5 linked regions of the Coturnix japonica genome follow. The protein of the gene in region 2 interacts with the protein of the main gene of each other region in a biochemical or structural test. Links are inferred from orthologs where the notes say so. Each region holds a gene or a part of one and is shown on either strand. Other genes may lie near its edges. The genes, in order: POU2F1, RXRA, NCOA6, TRIM24 and NRIP1.

Region 1 (3,852 bases), on a different chromosome or scaffold from region 2:
ATTTCTCCTTCTCTCCCTTGTCCCCAGCAACACGGCGAGAGGATGACCATCACATTTTTCAGTTCATAAACCCCACTGGCAGCCAATCCCACTGCACAGTGAAAAAGGCTGCTGGCAGCACAGCTCAGCCCAGCTCACTGTGCCTTGGAGGCAGTAGTGGTGGTGGATGTGGCCCCGCTCGCAGAGGCCACCGTGAGGAGAGAGTTCTGGATGGACTCGGCTGAGGTGGAGGTGGCATGAAGGCTGGCGACTGGTCCAGAGGCCCCTGCGGAGGCTGCAGCTGCAGAGACCAAGCTAACCGGGTTGCTGGTGAGCAGAGAAAGGTTCTGAGGGTTCAGGAACAGAGGGGCAGTTACGATGTTAGGAGTACCTCCAGCATTGGCAAACACCAAGTTTCCAGATGCATCCAGTGATGTTATTGGAAGAGAGCCACTAGATGCAAGAGCTAAAAAATGGAGAATTAAGTAGGGAGGAGATAACATCAGTAGTAACCAACAATGCCAAACGTGCCTAGAAGCAACAGGGCTCTGCACTTTCCTTCCCTGATGTGAATGCCCCCTACACCACTAACGACAGACATCAAATGTAACTTTTTCTCTTTTTAAACGACAGCTCCTTACGAAGGGTGAATAAGACCTTGCAGATATGAAAATGCTTCTGTCCACTTGCTCCTAATTCCATCAAGCTTTGCTTCAGCTCTTTTACTGCAACACTGCTCTACGTTTTCTGCCAAAGAAAAACCCGTGCACTCAGGTAACTTGGAAAGGGTTGAGATGCGTGTTCAGTGGAAACAACAGTTATCACAAGATGAAGGTCATGTAACCTTGAGAGTAACTTTTTAAATTACGACATATAAATGCGGTTACAACTTAACTCTCTCACAAGGCTACAGGGTTCAGTCTGCCTTAGATTAAGATCTCATATATTTATCTGTGACCCTTTGTGAAACGGTTCTTTCTTGGACCCTGCAAACAAGATTTGTTAAGCTGCTTTAGAAGATCACAGAATCAATCACAGAATCGTAAGGGTTGTAAGGGAGACCGTATAGTCCAACCCCCGAGATGTTTGAATACACAAGGTTAGCTAGATGTTAAGGCACCTGAACCAACTCTCTTTTTCCCCCCATAGATGACAAACTATGCAGCAAGAGCAACTCTTACTTATTAAAGCCAATGGAGATTTTTGACTGCATGGCAGATGCAAAACAAAGCTTTACTCCTCCAAATATGGATTTATGAATTTAAAGTTCCACGTAAGGAGTTTTAGGGGTAGAGGTTTTTTCACTCATTTGTTTAAAAGACATTTGAGAAGAAGAAGCCAGGATCAAGTCTTTCTCAGAAGTGCTCTCCCACAGATCTCAAAACAGCGCAACCCTGCTCAAGCTCATGTCAGAAGAGCTATAAAATGCGTATCTCCAACCTGCTGGAGACACGTATCCCTCTAGAACTATGGGGCAAAGACAAGGAAATAAACTCCAGATCACACGCAGTATCTTAAAGGACTTCTGTGAATCTCTATAAGATTATACCTGACTCTACTCTACTTTCTGAAGTTTCACCTGCTCTTGAATCCGTGACACATACAATGAATTTGGGCATTTGAATTTTGAAAAACCTCCAGTCTGACAACACTTATGTCCAGTTCTGAAGAGCCAGCGTTCTTTTTTTGTTTTTGTTTTTTTTTTTTTTTTGTGGTAGAGAACAACAAAGCTAAGGAAGTACAACAGAGATGCATTAAGAAGTGCTTTACTGACCTTGAATAGTTGCCAGTGTACTGTTGCTCATCAGGGCTGGGCTGAGAGCACCACCTAATGTCCCTGGATTGAGACTGAGTAAGGCACCTCTGCAGGAAGCAAGATCATGGAAGAAACAAAGACAAAGAGTGTTACTTTTAGGAAAAGGTGGCCATAGTTTAGAACTACACGACCATATATTTTTTTAAAGGGGGTGGGAGGGGACATGAAAGGCCTCAATCTAGTTTTTAGTTAATTTCCTTTTTTTTTGACAGTATCTTGAGTAGATGTTGCCTTTCAGCTCTGTGGCTAGCAATAGGTCTGAAGTACAGGCAATGTAAGTACATGTTGCATTGATCGTAGCTGTAAAATATTCCTGTAATGTATTTTTGAGAAACTGTAACTTGTTAGATAGCTACCATAAACTCCTAGATTCAGATAAGACAGATGTCAATCAAGAGGAACTGAAGAAACAAAGAGCCATCTCTCAGAGCAATGTTTTTTAAAGCAAAATCTTCAACAACACATATTATGTATTTTTACACTTCTTGATCGTGAGGGAGAAATGAAAACAGAGGTGACAAGTGGGCCTAGGCCAACTCTCCATTTGAGATGATTCAATGGTTTCTGGTAAGTTGCAGCTCTTAAGTCAAACTCAGCAGTGGGATAGATGACTGCAAACAACAACACTGCAACACAGCTTTTCCATTTGTAAAATGAAAACCATGTTTGTGTACCCTGATGGGAATGCTTACCATCTATAAGCAAACCTTCAGAATTTCAGGTAAAAGACACTAAAAGTGCCAAATGAGCTACCAGAAAACTGCAATACATAAAAGACCACACAAATCATTCCAAGAATTCTCCTTCCCTTTCCTGCTGCTTAACCTTTAAGGGTGTGAAAAATTCATCCTTACCCAGCTGCAAACTGTGAGGATGCCATCAAGCCTGGGTTTAGTCCTGCTGCAGCAGCCATGGCAGCGAGACTTGCATTTGCAGGCAACTGTGCAGCTCCTTGTAATGCAGCTGCTGCTGCTGTTTGCAACCCTGATGCTGTTACCATCACCTGGCTGGTCCCAAGAGGGGAGGACAAGGGAGTGGAGGTTGTCTGTGTTGTGCTGGTCTCGCTGGCACTGGATGCCTCTGAAATGGAGGCTGAGGCAGAAGGGGAAGGACTCAGGGAGGGTGATGTCACTGCTGAAGAAGCTGGAGGTGCCGTTGAAATCACTGTTGCTGTGTTGTTGGAGGTGGTTTCTGTTGTGCCTAAAAGATTGAGTCTGGTTATATCAGTACAAAAGCCAGATATAACTGAGCAGAAACCACTAACCACTTGAACTGAACTGCACATCCAACCGAAAGGGAGATAAACACATTCTTCTAGAACTGAGATGTCTGACTTTGAGTTTGGGTGTCAGTCTACAATGGAATGACACTTCAAGAGGAGGCTGAGGAGCACTAGAAGCTAGCAATAGGAGGCAGCACCTTGCACTTCACTATCACCTGTACTTGTTTCCTAAGGAAAGTTAACCAAACGGTCACAAAGAGTGAAGTTTCAGAGCAGAATAATGTGGAACAATGACAAGGATGCCCTGAGATACTTGTGTGACTGCTACTGAGATAAAGAAAGACCTTCTGAATAATTTGAAAGGGGAAAACAGTAGAAGTTAACATGGGCACAAGGCAAACCTGCCCAGGAGCTCTGTTTAAAGTTGAGAGAAGAGGAATACTTGGAACCAACACACAAAAGATGAGTTCACAATATCCCAAAGATTCTTTATCTATCATAAAGGCATTTCTCTTTCCTGTTTTCCAGTTCTAGCCAAGCAGATTGAGGATATCTGTCTGAAACATCTTCGCAATGCACACATCAACACGCAATACCTACTTTATACAAAATCTTTGGCAGTAGATCCCAGAGAGTTCTAAATTTCTCCCAAATAACTACAACAAAGGGCATTAGAAATCCAACAATATCTTTACCTCTATAGAACCTCAATTACTTGTTTGACATCATAATTTACCTGACAACTAAAAATAAATGAACTGTGAAGAAACTGTCAGGGCATGCACCCCTTACCTGTGACTGACAAACTAGTTACAGCAGGACTGGTCAGAGGGAG
Region 2 (3,852 bases):
CCTTGGTGCTGCATCACATCCCTGCAGGTTGCTCCTGCTGCTGACTGGGGTGAGTTTGCCTCTCTGTGTGCTGTGGTTTTCAGCCCTCTGCCTGCCAAGTATTCCCACCAGCTTGGAGGCTTGAAAGTCAGAGAAGTGGCTGTGGTTGTCTAATGGACAGAACACAAGCGCTGGGACATCCCTGAATTAATCTGTGACAAGTGCAATTGCCCAGTGTCACTATTAAGGGAGAGAAAGACAACAAGCTGAGACACAAATCCTGTCTGTCCTGCTTTGTTTTAGCAGTTGGCAGGAGCTGCAGAAGCCTGACTGCCCACATAGAACCCCATTGCACCTGCCCTGGGCTGGGTTTTGGTCCCCATTGGGTCCCTCCTGCATCCCTGTCCCCTCTCAATGTGTCTATAGGAGGGCACAGAGACACCAGCACAGAGCATTTTTGCAGAGGGATCTTTCTGGTGGCACTGAGCATAAAATCTTGTTGCAGAGAAAACCCCTGAGGCCCTGAAGGTGCAGATGGTTGCTGCAATAGGGATGGCAGCTTGGAACCTGCGGGCCAGAGCTGCAGCTCTGTCCTCACACCTTTCCTTCACACCTCAGTGGGTTACTGGGGCTATGCAGCCAAGGGCAGGGGCAGGATAGCAGAGCACAGGCTGCTGTGAGCTTGTTTCCATTGCCAGGACTGAGCTTGTCTCACACCTCCATGCCTCAGTTTCTCTGTGTGCAGGGGGGGAGCACAGTCCTCTGCAAAGCCAGGCCTTGTTGCACTTGGCTTGCTGATCTTTGGGGTCAGGTGCCCATATCTTTCTCTGGGCTCAGCACTGTGGGTTTTAAGCTGTTTGTCCCCTATTTCATATGTTTTCCTGCCTGTACCCAATCCCATGTGCTCTCTGCTTATGTCCTTGTAGCTCAACTCACCCATGAACCCCGTCAGCAGCTCAGAAGACATCAAGCCACCCCTGGGGCTCAATGGAGTCCTCAAAGTGCCAGCACATCCCTCAGGAACAATGGCCTCCTTCACCAAGCACATATGTGCCATCTGCGGGGACAGATCTTCAGGTAAAGCTCCTCCTGTACTGCATGCTGCCAATGAGAGTGCTAAGGCACATAGGAGCTTAGCACCATCCCCTCTGCTTAGGGACGGTAGTGCCCCATGGAAAAGGGAAAGCATCCCCAGGCTTGCTTTCTCCCAGGTGAGACGTGCTGGGCTCAGCTGTTTGACCTCCCCATTCTTCACACTGCCTTAATGGTTACGAGAGAAATAAACAGTTTGTCAGGCTCCTTGGTAGAGCCAATCCCATGCTTTATCCCCAGCCCCCAGTAGGGAGGACCAGCCATTAGCTGACTGTCCCTCTCTCTGTATCCTTTGATCCATGGCTGGGCTCATCACATAGCACCAGATAAAAAGATGTGCTTTGTGGAGTCTCTCTACTGGTGGGAGATAAAGATGTGCTAATTCCCTTTATTCTTACGCTGCTTTAAAAGCTTTCAGCTCAGTTAGTGCCCTGCTGTCTAGGTTTTGTGGTCTGGTGGGATGCCTCCTGCTTATTCTGTTGGGATGGGGAGGGCCGTAGGGAGGTGCCCCCAGTCTTGCTGCATGGATAACCAATGGTGGTTGGGGCAGTTTGTAGCCCCCACAGGCCATCCTGGTGTTATGGAGATCAATGAATTCAAAGCCTTCTTGCTGATGCTCTGCCTTTCCCAAATGCTGCCCTGGGAAGGATCATGGAACAACAGCTTTGGGTTGGGAGGGTCCTTTGAGAAGAACTGCAGGTCCACGCAAAGGATCTGTGGGGCACCCAGCACCTTTGCTGAGCCCTTTCACACCTCTGCAGGTAAACATTATGGGGTGTACAGCTGTGAGGGCTGCAAAGGCTTCTTCAAACGCACGGTGAGGAAGGACCTGACCTACACCTGCCGTGACAACAAGGACTGCTTGATCGACAAGCGCCAGCGCAACCGCTGCCAGTACTGCCGCTACCAGAAGTGTCTTGCCATGGGGATGAAGAGGGAAGGTAAGGCACTGAGCCCCCCCTGGGGTGCTGTGTGTCCTATGGGCACCTGGCTGTGTTGTTGGGGTGACACACGGGCTGTCAGGCACATGGTGTGCCCTGTGTGTCTATAGTTGGGGTTATGCTGACCCAGGAGTGTTCCCTAGCAGTGCTGGCTGGTTAGGTTTTTTTTCTTATTGGGAAGAAAGAAGAAATTCAGTCTTGTAAAAAGATATCCCTTCCCCTTAGTGGAATTTAAATGAAGGATCTAAAACTCCCTGGCAGTGCCTCTTTGAAGTGCTCTTTTTAAATGCTGACTGCATCTCTCTGAAACTGCTGGCAGAACGGGCTTTTAGCAGGCACGATGGGAAAGTGACCCCGTGGTGCTGCTCAGGTCTCCGCTGCCTTCTCCCCTTACACCCTCACTGGGGCAGGCAGAGCTCTTTCCCTGCTGACATCTCAATGGAGAGCCCCTGGGGTGCCTCCCCTGGTCCTATAGATCTTTGGTGCTTGGAAACTGGAGCAGCGATGGGTTGGCAGCATGGAGGTGGCTGTGCCTGATGCAGCAGTGAGCAGAGACCTCATTTGAGTGTGGTTTGGGGGAATGGGTTCTCCATCCCCTTGGTTTGTGAGCAATCATATCCTGTGATCATCAGGTACTGCTCTGTGCTCACCAATAGCAGCGATTGCACGGGCATCACCAACTGAAGTCACAGCTCTATTAATTAATCTCTAAACGGTGGTGGAATTCCCCGGGGAGCTCGCGTACAGTGCGAGGGCTCTATTAATTCATCTTGATTAACATTATCGCAGTGAATAGCAAATGAATTCAGAACGATCAGCCAATTATTTAAAAGTGTGACAGATGGGAGCTTCGTAACTCTCCAAGCGCGCTCAGGCGGTGCTGGCATGGCACAGGGATGGCTTTGGTGGTGCATAGGGTATGATCCCCATGCAGGCAGAGCTGGGCTCAGTGTCTTGTTCCCTAGGTAGCAGTAAGCCTGGCAGTGCAGTGGCTGCTGGCAGTGCAGAGGTGTCCCACTGTTATAGCACACACCTGGAGCTGGAGTTCTCCAGTCTCTAGTTTTGAGTGGTTCTTTAGCGCTGATCCACCTGATTTCCCAGCAGATCATCTCTGTCCCATTGCATCCATCCCACTCTTGCTGTCCTTCCCTGTTGCCAGCCCTGAGCCTTGGCTGTAGTTGTCCCCACAGCACCTCATTTGGGAGCAGCTCTGGGCTGCATCGTGCACAATGGTTCCTTTAGCCCCAATGCTTGCTTACAAGAAAGCTGGCCATTATCCTCTGGTGTAAACTGTTACCTCTTTTAAGTAACATAGCTGGGGTAATGAGCCTCATTTCCTCACAAAATACTTCACTCTGGAGACCTAATTTATAGCCCCGTAAATGCAGACTCCTGCTCAGAGGAATCTCTCCTATAGCCCAGACATGTTTGTGTGTCATGGAAGGACAGCAAAACCCTCTACATTAAGTAGTGAAGGAGACATTGTTCAGTGGTTCTCCAATGACTGCTCTACAGCCTGGTGCTGGGAAAGGGTAGGACATAGGGAGCTGTTTGGGTGGAGGCTTTAGGAGCCAGATCTGGGGGATCGAGGCTTATTGCAGGGAAAGGATTCCTTCTGGAGCATGTATCTCTGGCTGTTCCCTGTGAAAAGACATTACAGCACATCCTGATGCTGTATGAGCCCTATGGATTCTGGAGCTATTGAGGCTCTGATTAATAAGCAGCCAGGAATGTTTTCTTACTGTGAATTACTGCCAGCTGTGTGAGCCTTTGATTTCTGTGCTGTCTCCCAGTGAGTACAACAAAATTCAGGTTACCTTCACTAATGCAAGGACTGTTG
Region 3 (4,537 bases), on a different chromosome or scaffold from region 2:
TTCTTGTCCAGTGCTATTCTTCACCAGCAAGAATAATTCTCCATGCTTTCCTTGTACCTTACAGTAAGGAAGGAGGTTTATGGGTGTGCCTTGCAGGAGTGCAGGACACGGGTTTACATGTGATGCAGGCTCTGTAAGAAACTGCCCAGAGATGGAGCCCCATACCAGTTCCCATGTCTCGGAAGGTCACGTATATTTAACTATTAAAAGAGTAAAAACTACAAAACTAAAAGGACGCACACAGGACTTGGAGAACTTAGCAGCATGTATCTTTTGGTGAGAGTAACTGAATCATTCCTTTTCACAAAATGCAGACTTAAAATTCAGACTCTCACATACACAGCTCACATCTTCATAGTTTCATAGTTTCGTGCGGGTTTGGAAGGGACCTTAGAGATCATCGAGTCCAACCCCCCGGGATTCGAGCCTCTGTGTAGCAGAGCGGCACTTCTACCACTTGCAACACAGGGGATTCGAACCCAGGGCCTCTGGTGTTGCAAAGTGGCGTCTTTAACCACTGCGCCACCGGAGGCATACATCTTCTGTTCCAGTATCAGTTTATATAAGGACAAATCAATTTAGACAAGGCACAGCTCTTCTACTGTACTTTTTAATTGCTGTACAAATCTGACCCAAAGCCCTCTGCTCCCTGAAGCTGCAGAAGGGAGCAGCCCCCTCAGTCCCAGAACGATGGCTGTCACACTGAGCACCTCCCTTCCTCAGGTGAGCTCTGCCGCACACTGCTCCTCCTTCACTTCCCTAAATACATGAAGAGATATTTACTCTGACACGACATCAAGGTCCCCATACATAGACACCAGAATTCATCTCTTGTTCCTACTTTAAGGACATTACCACCAGACTTGGAAGTGCTGTTCCAAACGCAGGAGGCTTGTCAGCAGCACCAACTAACGACACAGGACACATTGCAAGGGCAACAAGCCCTGCTGGCAGATGGTTTTTACCTATGCTTTCAGACCTCTGCAAAGTTTCCTCTAGCTCCTCTCTGTGCAATCCAAAGCCCAGCCTTCCCCCACTCCTTTCCTTCTGATTAGGCCACAAATAATTCAGTGTCACACATCATCCCGAGGGAAGCCTTCAGCTACCAAGATGCACAATCTAAGCCATACACAGGCTGTGGGGGCTGAAATGTCACCTGTGTGGGGCAGCTGCTGCTGCAAAACAACTGATTCACTCCGAGGCCACCAAAAGTTTGCAAACAGGGCAGAGCAAGAGGCGGACAGAACACACAGCAACCACTGCCTCCATAAAGCAAACATGACAGAAGTTCCACCTGTCAGCCAGATGGAAAACCTCTCACCTGGAATACGGGGATGGACCTCCCCTGCCTCAGGTCTGTATATGTCTAGCATTATTTATCTTTCAATTTCTGCCCCTTTGCTTTCCCAATTCTAAGCATTCTTTCCCATAGCTTCTGCTCTGGCCAGAGTTAAGGAACAAGTTTGTCTGAACACAATTTCTGCTATGCAGACTCTCAGCTTTAAGCCCTGCTGTTCATCCAGTGGGAGCTCCCTGTACATCGTCGCATTTGTATTTCTCAATAGAGGCCACATGGTTTTGAAAGAGACACCAACACCAAGTTCCCTGCCCTTCAGAGGGGCACCAATGACCTGTAACAGCTCTATTTCCACTGCAATCCAACTGTTACAGCCACCTTCGCTCCTCAATGTCCTTGGCAGCAAACCTTCTGCCTTTGCAAAACTCTTAAACACACTGTATCTGTGTAGCTGCAACTCCAGTTTTCTTCCAAAAGCAATCAGTACAGTATTCAAAACTAAAAACATGCTGGAAACCCATTCAATGACCTAGTTATGAGTTTAAGACGTTTAACATCTGCTACAAAGGTACGCGATCTTTGGCAGTACCACAGCTAAGAACTGAGCGATAGTACAAATGTTCATCGGAACGCTATCGCCCCATGTTTCAAGCATTTAAGCAGCTGAAAAGTGAAAGCATTAATACTCAGTTTACAAACGCAGGTAGAGGCCTGGCTTTCTCATGTTCTTCCACACATTTCAAAAGAAGCAGCTATTTCTTTACTAGAACAGCATAACATTACTGCACACTGCCTGATGTAAGCAGCGAGACCCACAGAGCGGGCCGAGCAGCCCCCGACCCGGGGCACACAGCTCAGCACCGCTCCTCCCGCACCAGCCAGGGGAAAGAAAGGGAGGTCGGGCTTTCTGAAAGAAACCGAACTTGGAGAAAGGCCGGGACACACCGAGACTACAGGACCAGAAGATCGCTACGCTGGAGAGTTACAGAGAAATTCAAACAAAAGCTGGGGCTCAAAGAAACGTCAGCGCACCGTCACTGACATCTTCGTGACACCCGCCGAAGAACCGACCCCAGAAACAGCGCCCGAGCCGACAGCGGCTTCAGGCGGCTTTAGCGAGAGCCGCTTTCCTCCTCCCGGGGCTGCGCACCGCCGGCTGGGCCCGGCCCGAGAGCTCCGCAGGCCGCGGTGCGGCCGCAGCTGCGGGCGGAGCCCCGGGGCTCGGGCCGCGGCCCGAGAGGGGCCCGACGACGCGGCCCGGCCCGGGGCTCCCGTCCGAGGGCACCCCTCGAACGCTGCGGCCGAGCGCGGCCCGGCAACCCCCCCCCCCCGGCGGCGGCCCCGAGCACGGTGAGCGCTCGGGCGACTCCGCGCCGCGTCGGGCCGGCTCGTCCCGGCCCGCTCCGCTCCGGGCCGCCGCTTCCGCCCCGCCACCCCCGTCCCGCCCGTGCCGCCGAGAGGCCGCGGGCCGCCCCGCCCTCACCTGGTGCCGGTGTCGCCGCTCCGCCGCCGCCGTGACCCGCTCCGCGACCGCGCGGGGGAGGGCGAGGAGCGCCCGTGCGACCAGGGGCGAGCGGAGCCCGCGCCCCGTGACAGCGGGGGCGGGAGGTCGCGGTGGGCCCTGGGGCGCCCGGACACCCTCCGCAGGCCGCCGCTCCGCCTCCCGCCGCTCCGCCGCGCGCCACGTGACCTCCCGCCCCGCGCCGCCCGCGCCTGCGTCCGAGCGCGCTGCGCCGGGAGGGGGGATCCGCCGGGACGGGGGGTTCCGCCGTGCGGGACGGAGCTGCTCCGCGCTCCGCCGTCGCCGCCCCGCGGTCTCCGCTCTCCTTCATCGCCGCTCCGCGCCGAGCGGGCGCTGCCGGCGGCATCGCGCGGCCCCGGTCCCGGCCCGCGCACTGGGAGCCGCCTTCCGCGAGGCGTCCGCGGGGCCGCGGCGCCGTCCCTCCCGCGGCGCTGTCGGAACCGGGTCCGGCCGGGCCCGGGGGAGCGGCCGGCGCTGCCTGCGGGGCGCTCTGGGGAGCGGCCGCCATCTTTGCCGGGAGGCCCCGGCCGCGGGCGGTCCCCGGGCTGGCGCCGAACGCCGCCGAGTGAAGAAGCCGCTCTGAGGGCGCCCGAGCCCGGCACGGCCTGCGCCGTGTGCTGCAGGAGTCTCTGCAGACGTTCGAACCCGCCTGCGTGTCTTCCCGTGCCACCTGCTCTGGGAGCCTGCGTTCAAAGTCGGCCGGGTCCGGGGCAGCCCCCGGCGCTGCGGCTGTGTCAGCAGCGATACTCGGCTCCTGCCGCACGGCGGGAGCGAGGCCTGCGCTGCTGAGGGAAAGGTGTAACGGGATGGAGTCGTGCGGAACGGCACTAGAATGTGGGGATGCTTTTGAATAACGGAATGCTTTGGTCCCCGAGCAGAGAAGGGGCACACGGGGCTGTCTGGCAGGATTTAGCGTGCGGGGCACTGAGACCCGCAGGAGTTCACGTCATATCCTGCAAGGCTGAGTGCACGTGGGCAATGCCGAGCTCACACCGCCGCGGTGCCGCTGCAGAAACGTCACTTTTTCTTCTGCCGGTCGCCGCTTTCATTGAAGAGCACCCATGTTCCGCTGGTAAACAAAAGCAGCACGTGGCAGCTGCTGTGTAAGGCCACTACAATGACCAGGAGTCCCTTGTGAAAATCCAGTCTTTGGTCCTTTAAAAAACCGCACAGTTGGCACAGCAATGTGGGCAGGTCCTGCTGTGCTCCCTGGGGTGCACGGCCCCCAGCTCACTGCTGGGCACAGCCCCGATGGACCCACAGAACGGCACGACAAGAGGAAACCTCGGTTTGTTTGCAGAACGTGTGAAATGCAGCTGTCCCACTTGTCATTTGCTGCTAGAGCAACACGGAACAAAATAGGATTTCTTAAATGGATGTATGAATCCATTCCATGGGAAAGCAAACCACCACCGTTATTGGATGACTGATGCTTCTGCCAAGTAATTTTGGTGTGTGGAAAGCTGCGAGCAGGCTGTTTATGCAGCACTGGCAGCTCAGACACTCCCTGCTGAAGGACAAATTGCTCAGCAATTCTTTGCTAGGGGGTTCTTCTGCTCGTGCCTCTCTCCATGTATATCTGCCCCGGTGCCTGAGGTGTGGGAGCTCCCTGCACAGCCTTCGTGCTGCCTCTCCCCCAGCGGAGGCACACAGAGGTTTGGGAAGAAGCGTGGGGGCATGGAGTTGTGAAGAATGGGGCTGGGGGAGGCAGCAGAGGA
Region 4 (3,852 bases), on a different chromosome or scaffold from region 2:
CACAGCAACAAAACACAATGGAATATAGTCGGAAGGTTCAACCAATGTTGCCATATCACCAACATCTGCCTCTGACATATTGGGCCTACTTAATAACGTAAGAGATCTTACTTTCAGAGCAGCCTTCATACTTTCAGACTGCACTAAGTACTGTAATAACTGTCATATCTGTTCTGTTAAGAGAGAAGCTTGAGTACATTAACATCTCTCTGCACTAACAATAAAAGAGTCTGAGGCATGTTCTATGGATGTGGAAGTCATATGTTCTTCCACTCCCACTCCTTCCTTACCTCTCTCTGCTCCCAACACTGGAGGCACTGGGTGAACGTATTGGAGGGTGTATGTTTGTTACACTGACACCTCCTAGGATAGAAGAAGCAGATTAGAATGTAATACACATCTATGCCAAGTCTGATCCATTATTTGGAGAAGTATGTAGGTCTTTGGCAAATTTCTCTTGCCTTGTTATTTATTTAATCAATACCTCATCTAGTACAAAACCATAAGAGAACAAGAAAAGAATAATAGAGTAAAGGAAAGAACTATTTTTGGCATGTAAGCAGGGTGATGATTTAGTACCTTTTCCTGGTTGATGCCTGCACTTGATCACTGCAGTTTGTTTTGTCTTACCTTATTAAATTCTATTTCTAGTTTCTAATTGTGTAATTTACTATAAAACTTCAAGCCATATTAGCTGGTCAGAAAAATGAGGCCTCAGGACAGGGTGTAGATGTGAGATCCCAACAAAGGGTCTAAGGGTCAGACAGCAGAAAATTTGTGAAGGGTAATTTTCCTGAGAAAAAAGAATCAGGCTGTTTGCGCTGTCCCTGTTTACGAGAGCATCTGTATGCACCGTCCTCTTTTCTGAGCTAATCTGTCCAAGTGCATGAACATCAAGTAAGAACATACTGGGAATTCATGCTCACAGAGCCTCACTACAGGCCAAATCAGGAAATGGCCCATAGTGTAAGAATAAGGAGCATCCACTGATTCCACCAGGTATGGTGCCAGGAATCCCATGTGTCCTTCAATTCTACCACATTTAGCTACACATAACAATAATCGTTCTGGTCAACTTCTGTCAGTGCTACACTACTCTCCCAGTGAAGAAGATTTTCTAATGTCCAAACTGAGATTTGCAAGTGACCAGTTGCAGCCATTATCTTCTGTTACATTCATTGCATTACATTCATGTTACATACATTACATTACATTCATGTTACATCCTATCTTGCTTTACCGAATTCTTCCCTCCTACTAAAGCTTCTAGGATGCTATCTAGTATACCTGAACAGGACAGTTTTCCACAGATAAACTTGCATTTGCAGTTTTCTTGTGTCTACTAAGTTTTTACTCCATGTTTTTAAGGTTTGTTGACTTAACTTTGTTCACAGCACTAAAGCAGTCTCAGCTTTACCTCATACTAAGCTTTCTAACTATTTGCCTTTATTTTAATATTTCTTATTGTGGATATAAAATACAAGTAACTCGTTCTGATATCAATGTTAACATTGCCGTGTTACGTTCTACCATTACACTACATGAATAGAAAATTGTATCACAGTCCAATTACCTGAGATGCCTGGTGACGGTACTGATGAATTTGGTGACTGCACAGTTCTGTTTGAAGGGGGTTTTGGGTGGTTTTGCTCTGCAGTGCCATCATCCTTCCTCGCAGCAGTATCCAGTGTGATGTTTCCTGAACAGTCAATCTACAAGATGGTTAACAGAGGAAAAGTAGCTAAGAGTTGGGGGAAAACAACAAAACAAAAAATATAGTGCCTCTGCCATACTTTTGTTTTGGAGATGAAGACCAAAATGAAGACCACCTAACCTGAGCCATCCTAAAAGTGGTTACTTTAAAACATCTGGTTTTCTCTAAATAGAGAAATGACCAAACCCTGACAGTGTTTCATATCATTAGTTTATGCTGAAGTGGAAGAACCTCAAAAGACACTTAACTCCATTTGCCTCACACATCTTCTGGGTAGGGGGCACACATATTCACTCAAAACACACTCAAAACAAGTCAACGTTTATTTATTCATGACTCAGGCTAGACAGTGGAACTTTCTTTTAAGAACTGCAAATTTATCAGTCTAGCTTTCTGTACAAGCTATACATTCTGATTTGGTAAAGAGAAATAACATTTTGAGATGTTAGTTTGCTGCTGGTTTGTTTTGTTCCGTTTAATAATACATGAGATCATGCTTGATCAGAAAATAGGTCACTTTGGTATCAGCTTTCTTAACTATCCAGACACATCTCAAATCTACAGGCAGCAACTCCATTGAATGCTGAAATTTCTATTTAAATGCTAGACTTCTCAGCGTTGGATGCAGAAGTCTCTGCTAGGTCAGCATACATGCAGTGATTTCAGCAACACATCTTCATAGCATAAACTTAATCACATACAAGCAGAAGAGTTCATAACAATGGCATGCAAAAAAGCAGTGTGCTGTAATGTCTCACAGATTCTGTAGTTTTATGATCATGTTGTGCACTTTATCTTTTTACTCTCACAGATACTGTGATATCAATGTACTCTTTAAAAATAAGACTCTTAGATTTTTATCGAAGAACATATTGTGGAGATTAAGAGACAGGAGGGAGAAATGGAGTAACAGCAAGTTATGGCTAGAAAATTGTGACATTTTAGTTCTCTATAAGCTCAGACTACAAATATAGGCTCAGCAGTTACTTGAAAGAAGGAAATAAAGTTCACCATCTTTAATGAGAATCTCTGACAAATAAGGACCAATCAGAAGAAAAACAAAGAACTTAAGATACTCCTCCAACACCTGCTCACATGCATGTTAGAGCAAGTATGAAGGAAAGAAGTATCAAAAAGAAGAACTATAAGGAAAATTTGACTCCACTACATCAACAACAACCACCTAAGATAGCACTTTCAATGAGTTATAATGAGTTCATTGACCAGTGGATAGCAGTAAAGAATGTAATATGAAGCAAGCACATAAACAAGCCCTATTACTGTTACAACATGGAATGTTATTTTTCTTTGCACTCTTAATAGCTGTTTCCCAGAACAGGCCTGAATACTGCCAAAAATATGTAGGAAATCCCACATCACTTTCTGAAATTATCTCATTTTGATAAACCAGCAGAAGAATTTCAAAACAAAAAGGATTTATACTTTTCAAAACCATTAAAGCATGCTTCAAAATAGAATCTGTGACAGACTGGTATGGATGGTACACTCACATCAGGAAGAGATGGTAGATTGTAGGAACTACCCACTGGAGAACTCAAATCTATCACAGGAGGACCGTATGTCTTCCCATCACATCCTGCAGCACTAGTGACTGTGGGGCTGGATGGAGTAGAAGTTATGCTGCTTGCTGTTGAAATGGCAGTTGAACTTTGTCCATTACCGACCTGCCACTAAAAAGACAAGACAGTGATCCACAATTCAGTATTTTTCCCTCTACAAAATATACACACTACACATTGTTGCTCTAAGTCATCAGCTAAACAAGCAATCTAGTACAGTAGGTTGAATTCAAATATAAAATCCCAATTTACTCTGAAGTTATCTGATTTCAACAACCAATATTACGAGATGAGGAAAGATGACAAGTAGTTAAAAACTATGAAAAGAATAAGTGAATGTGAATTCTTAAATTCAAAGATGCATCTCAATGTTGAGTATCTATTAATATTTCATGCTGCACTGACAGCGCTGTAGGAGAAATGTAACAGTTTTAGTGAAATTAAAGCATTACAGATAATATGATGAATATATAGCTACTCCAGTACTTTTACTAAGTAAATAGCTACATTGTACTTGGATGCAATCAATAATTTAATGCTTCCCTTAACAACTTAAGG
Region 5 (3,852 bases), on a different chromosome or scaffold from region 2:
ATTAATTGTTGAGTTGCTTTTGTTTCCTTTTTTCTTGCTCTCAGTTAGTAAGTTATTCCTATGTTGCGACAGGTCTCTCTCACAGTTTTCTGAGAGAAGCAGCTGTTTCAACACGTTAAAGCCTTTACTATCTCTAGACCAACTCCTATTATCACTTTCATTATTTGAACCATGACTTACAGCATATTTAAATTCTGAATCACTTCTGCCAAATTTCAGTTCTTGCTGGTTTAGCAAAGGCCCATACAGTGCCTCTGTAGGAGAAACGTGATTGTTTGCAGCATGAGACACATTAGTTTTCATCTTTTTTAACGGACTTTCCAAAGGCTCAGCATGAAGCTTCCTTTTCTTCGGTACTGTGCAAAGACTCTTTGATTCCAGGTGTGCCAGCTCATTGTTTTGATGACTTCTGTCCACCTCATCTGCAGGGTAACTATCCTGATTCTGTCTCAGCAATCTACTTAGCAGGCCATTTTTGGAAAAAGAAAAATCTTGAGGTGAAAGAGGCTCAGACTTCATCTCCTCAGATGCTGGAGAAGCAGCTGTGTTTCTCTGTAGCGAATGAACAAATCCTTGAAATTTGTTACCCTTGCACTCTCTTATTTGTTGTGCATTTGAATTATAAGGGACATTTGATTCTTCAGACGGTTCAGTTTTTATTTTCACTGTCAATATTTGCTCATTCAAAGCCTTATCTGTGTGTTCCTGAGAACTTTCATCTCTTAAAAGCACCCTCTCTTTCTTTTCATTTTTACCTTTATTGGGAGTTCCCAGAAGCAGCTGAAGGACAGTTCGCCTTTCAAGGAGATTTTCTATTTCCGAACCTGGAAGTCCTTGTTCAGTGGGTACAGAATGACAACTTAATATTTTGTTATTTTCTTCGTGAGTACTTAATTTATTTGTAAGCAGAGGGCTGTTCAATCTATCAATCAAGCCTACGGGTTTATCTGTGTTCCCCACCAGCAGATGTTTGCCGGATCTTTGTTCTTCACTTGACATGGAAGTCTGCATACCACACTGAGCAAGATTCTGCAACAGCTTGCTGGCACTGAAAGCTGACGAGTTTTGTGGACTGTCGTTTCGGCTCAGCTTAGCTCCTTGAATTTCTTTGCTTTTTGAAAGGTCTATCAAATGTTTAGATGCAGGATTCACCAGCCTGTCTGGCTGGATGCTGCAGGCATATGGTGGTGAGCTACGCTTGATGGCTAATGATGGGTGAGAGAGATTTATAGGAGAGTCTGCTTTTGCAGAAGCAAGCAAAGGTGGAGTGTTTAGTGGAGTCATTCGATTTGCATTGGGACTGTCAGTAACAGGAGTCCTTTTACCAGTTTGTACAGTGAATTTTGCCACATCAGCAGCACTGTGTGGTCCCTGAGGCTCATTACTTTTGTCTACCTTTTCTTCACTCTTATGCCCAAGTAACAGCTGAAGTAGTGTTACTTTTTGATGGGGGTTCAGCTTAGATGCTTTTGGAGTGTCTTTGTCCTCCTTGCTCTCCGGACAGGAAACTTTTGGATCCCAGCTATGAAGCAAGGACTGAGTCAGGTTATCCAGTGACGCCGGTGGACCTGTGTCTGGTTTGTCTGTCCTCTGTTTAAAAGATAAGTCTATAGGAAGACAGTTAGAATGGGAACTTTCGTCATCGCTGCTGTCATCTGTAAAACTAGGATTGTTGTCTGAATACTCATCAATAGTTGTTGGTGTGCTACTCTCTTCAAAAATGCTGGCTCTCTCACTCTGTTCATGGCCTTTTAATTGTTTGGTGGTATTCTGGCTTTTCAGGAGATGTAAGAGCAAACTGTTGCTGGGAGAGGTTTTCACATTATTCCTTTCCAAGGTACTTTTGAATCCAACATTTTTGGGTGGTGAATGTGTGATTCCCACCGAACTCTGAAACGGTGCCATATTGCTTTTGCTAGATACCATTTTGGTTGATGATCCTGCTTGACCATTGAGATGGCTTGTCATTCCTTTTGCTAAACTGAACTGGCCAATATCTTTTTGAGCACTTTCTTGTAATCTGGCCATAGCTGCAAGTCTCTCACTTGCTATTTGATTTGCATTTTGTGCTTTTAAAGCATGTTCCCTGGAGTACTGCTGCAAGTGAGCTTCACTTGAAAGTAGTAAAGCTAGTTGGCTGCATGCTACACTGGGCTTTGGTGAAGCAGCAGGACTAGATCGTTTCTCTACCATGCTTGCCACAGCTTGTAATCTTGCAGCACATGACAGTGGTTCATTTACTACTTTAGGTCCGCTCTGCACTGCATGAGGAGATTCTATAAACCTCTCTTTGGGCAGGTTCTTTGTTATATCAGGCAAGCTGTTGTCCAACTTCTGATCCTTTGCTTTGCTCTTCTTCAATAGAGTCTTCAGGTGACTGGATGCAACACCATAGCACCGTAAATCTTTCTCCACCTGTAAAGAATCATGGCTAAGGGAATAGCCTTGCTCCTTAAGGCTCTGTCTAATCTGCTGTGACAGAGCAACACTCTGAAGCCTAGAGCTGAATGACTGAAGCAAAGAGGCAAGTAATGTGCTATCCTGTTTGCCTTTAGGCACATTTTCAACCATGCCAGCTAACAAAGCTTCCTTTTTTCCGTCTAAATCCACAATGGAATCAGACAACCGCCTTCTCTTCGCTGCATTCCAATCTTCAGAAGACTGCAACAGCCTTGCTTTTTTGAGGTGCAACATGCCAGATCCCTGATATGTACTTGTGTTAAGAACTGGACCATTACTTTGACAGCTGGGAAATATATTTCCAGAAATATTAAAGTTTTGATCCTCTCCACTATGCCCAGCAGACTTTTTGTCAACTGTAGTACCTGAGCCTCCTGCCGCTTGATGCATTAGTAATCCTTCTAGGTAAGTTAGAACAACAGAATCCTGGTGCATCTCAGAGCCAAGCTCTTCTCCATGAGTCATGTTCAATAAAAGTATCCAAAAGGGCTCTGTTTCTATTCACTTCAAAGACCAGTTTGCTGCAGCTGAATCGAGATGCAGAGTTAATAAATAATAGATAGATGTCTATAGCGTGTTCTCACAAACTTTCAGAAGCAACACAGTCACATTCCAGGCAGGTTTCTTCCAGTGTATCTTGACTGAAAACCAATCATGTCCCTGTGTTGAGATACAGAATATTTACGACGGATGTCGAGGAAGAGCACTCAAAACACACTTCTAAGGCAGTAAAGTTCTATTACATATTTGCTTTCTTCAGCTTTCTCCAGGAAGTTAGTTTGGTTTTCATCTTTTTCCATCTCCATCAAGAACACAGAATACCTAAGTGGGGGAAAAAAAAAGAAAACCAAAAAACAGTGGTCAAGAAAAAGAATTTGGGTAAAATCTAAATAAACTGCATAAGAGATGTTTTTTCCACATACAGTTCTAGAGAGATCCAAGATGTACAAGCATTAATCACACTCTAGAAGAAATTAATGATTGAATAATGCAATGAGTCTACAGCACCTAATCTGAAGAACGTTGTGAAAATCACTCTGAGACAGAAAGCATTATGTAAAATCTAAGCTAAAGTGAACTATCCTAAGAGTAGCTACTAGAAGTGATCACTGAATCTCTCTGCTATAAAACTCCAACTAAAAACTAGTAACCATGAAAGAAAAATCTAAATATTGCTCAGAAAAATTTACTCTGGATTCTACCTCACAGTTCCAACAATATTTTTACGTTAGCATGTGAACACACAAGGCATGAACAGCATCACTCTGAAAGAAAATTAATGAGGGAAAAAAATGCATCTAAAAGTCAACGTTCAGGTTCATGTTGAATTTGTCAAACACCTGAATAAGCAGCAACACATACGAGCACATTTCTGTTCTTCCAACTCCCAAC

What was found.
Region 1: the proteins of RXRA (region 2) and POU2F1 form a complex in vitro, tested with the Homo sapiens proteins (2 studies listed by BioGRID). The link is inferred for Coturnix japonica from reciprocal best matches to the Homo sapiens genes RXRA and POU2F1.
Region 3: the proteins of RXRA (region 2) and NCOA6 form a complex in vitro, tested with the Homo sapiens proteins (5 studies listed by BioGRID). The link is inferred for Coturnix japonica from reciprocal best matches to the Homo sapiens genes RXRA and NCOA6.
Region 4: the proteins of RXRA (region 2) and TRIM24 form a complex in vitro, tested with the Homo sapiens proteins (3 studies listed by BioGRID). The link is inferred for Coturnix japonica from reciprocal best matches to the Homo sapiens genes RXRA and TRIM24.
Region 5: the proteins of RXRA (region 2) and NRIP1 form a complex in vitro, tested with the Homo sapiens proteins (2 studies listed by BioGRID). The link is inferred for Coturnix japonica from reciprocal best matches to the Homo sapiens genes RXRA and NRIP1.

Annotation. Positions count from the first base shown.
Region 1 is NC_029516.1:82,215,023-82,218,874, forward strand, and holds part of POU2F1 (POU domain, class 2, transcription factor 1), read right to left. Parts: coding exon 3,810-3,852; intron 2,996-3,809; coding exon 2,650-2,995; intron 1,843-2,649; coding exon 1,754-1,842; intron 727-1,753; coding exon of another isoform or gene 617-726; exon of another isoform or gene 452-616; intron 446-451; coding exon 135-445; 3' UTR 1-134. UniProt on the Homo sapiens protein: Transcription factor that binds to the octamer motif (5'-ATTTGCAT-3') and activates the promoters of the genes for some small nuclear RNAs (snRNA) and of genes such as those for histone H2B and immunoglobulins.
Region 2 is NC_029532.1:5,848,925-5,852,776, forward strand, and holds part of RXRA (retinoic acid receptor RXR-alpha), read left to right. Parts: intron 1-905; coding exon 906-1,056; intron 1,057-1,832; coding exon 1,833-2,012; intron 2,013-3,852. UniProt on the Homo sapiens protein: Receptor for retinoic acid that acts as a transcription factor.
Region 3 is NC_029535.1:416,824-421,360, reverse strand, and holds the start of NCOA6 (nuclear receptor coactivator 6), read right to left. Parts: upstream 2,976-4,537; 5' UTR 2,781-2,975; intron 1-2,780. UniProt on the Homo sapiens protein: Nuclear receptor coactivator that directly binds nuclear receptors and stimulates the transcriptional activities in a hormone-dependent fashion. Coactivates expression in an agonist- and AF2-dependent manner.
Region 4 is NC_029516.1:55,902,398-55,906,249, reverse strand, and holds part of TRIM24 (transcription intermediary factor 1-alpha), read right to left. Parts: intron 3,406-3,852; coding exon 3,226-3,405; intron 1,713-3,225; coding exon 1,574-1,712; intron 364-1,573; coding exon 291-363; intron 1-290. UniProt on the Homo sapiens protein: Transcriptional coactivator that interacts with numerous nuclear receptors and coactivators and modulates the transcription of target genes.
Region 5 is NC_029516.1:88,408,386-88,412,237, forward strand, and holds part of NRIP1 (nuclear receptor-interacting protein 1), read right to left. Parts: intron 3,283-3,852; 5' UTR 2,926-3,282; coding exon 1-2,925. UniProt on the Homo sapiens protein: Modulates transcriptional activation by steroid receptors such as NR3C1, NR3C2 and ESR1. Also modulates transcriptional repression by nuclear hormone receptors.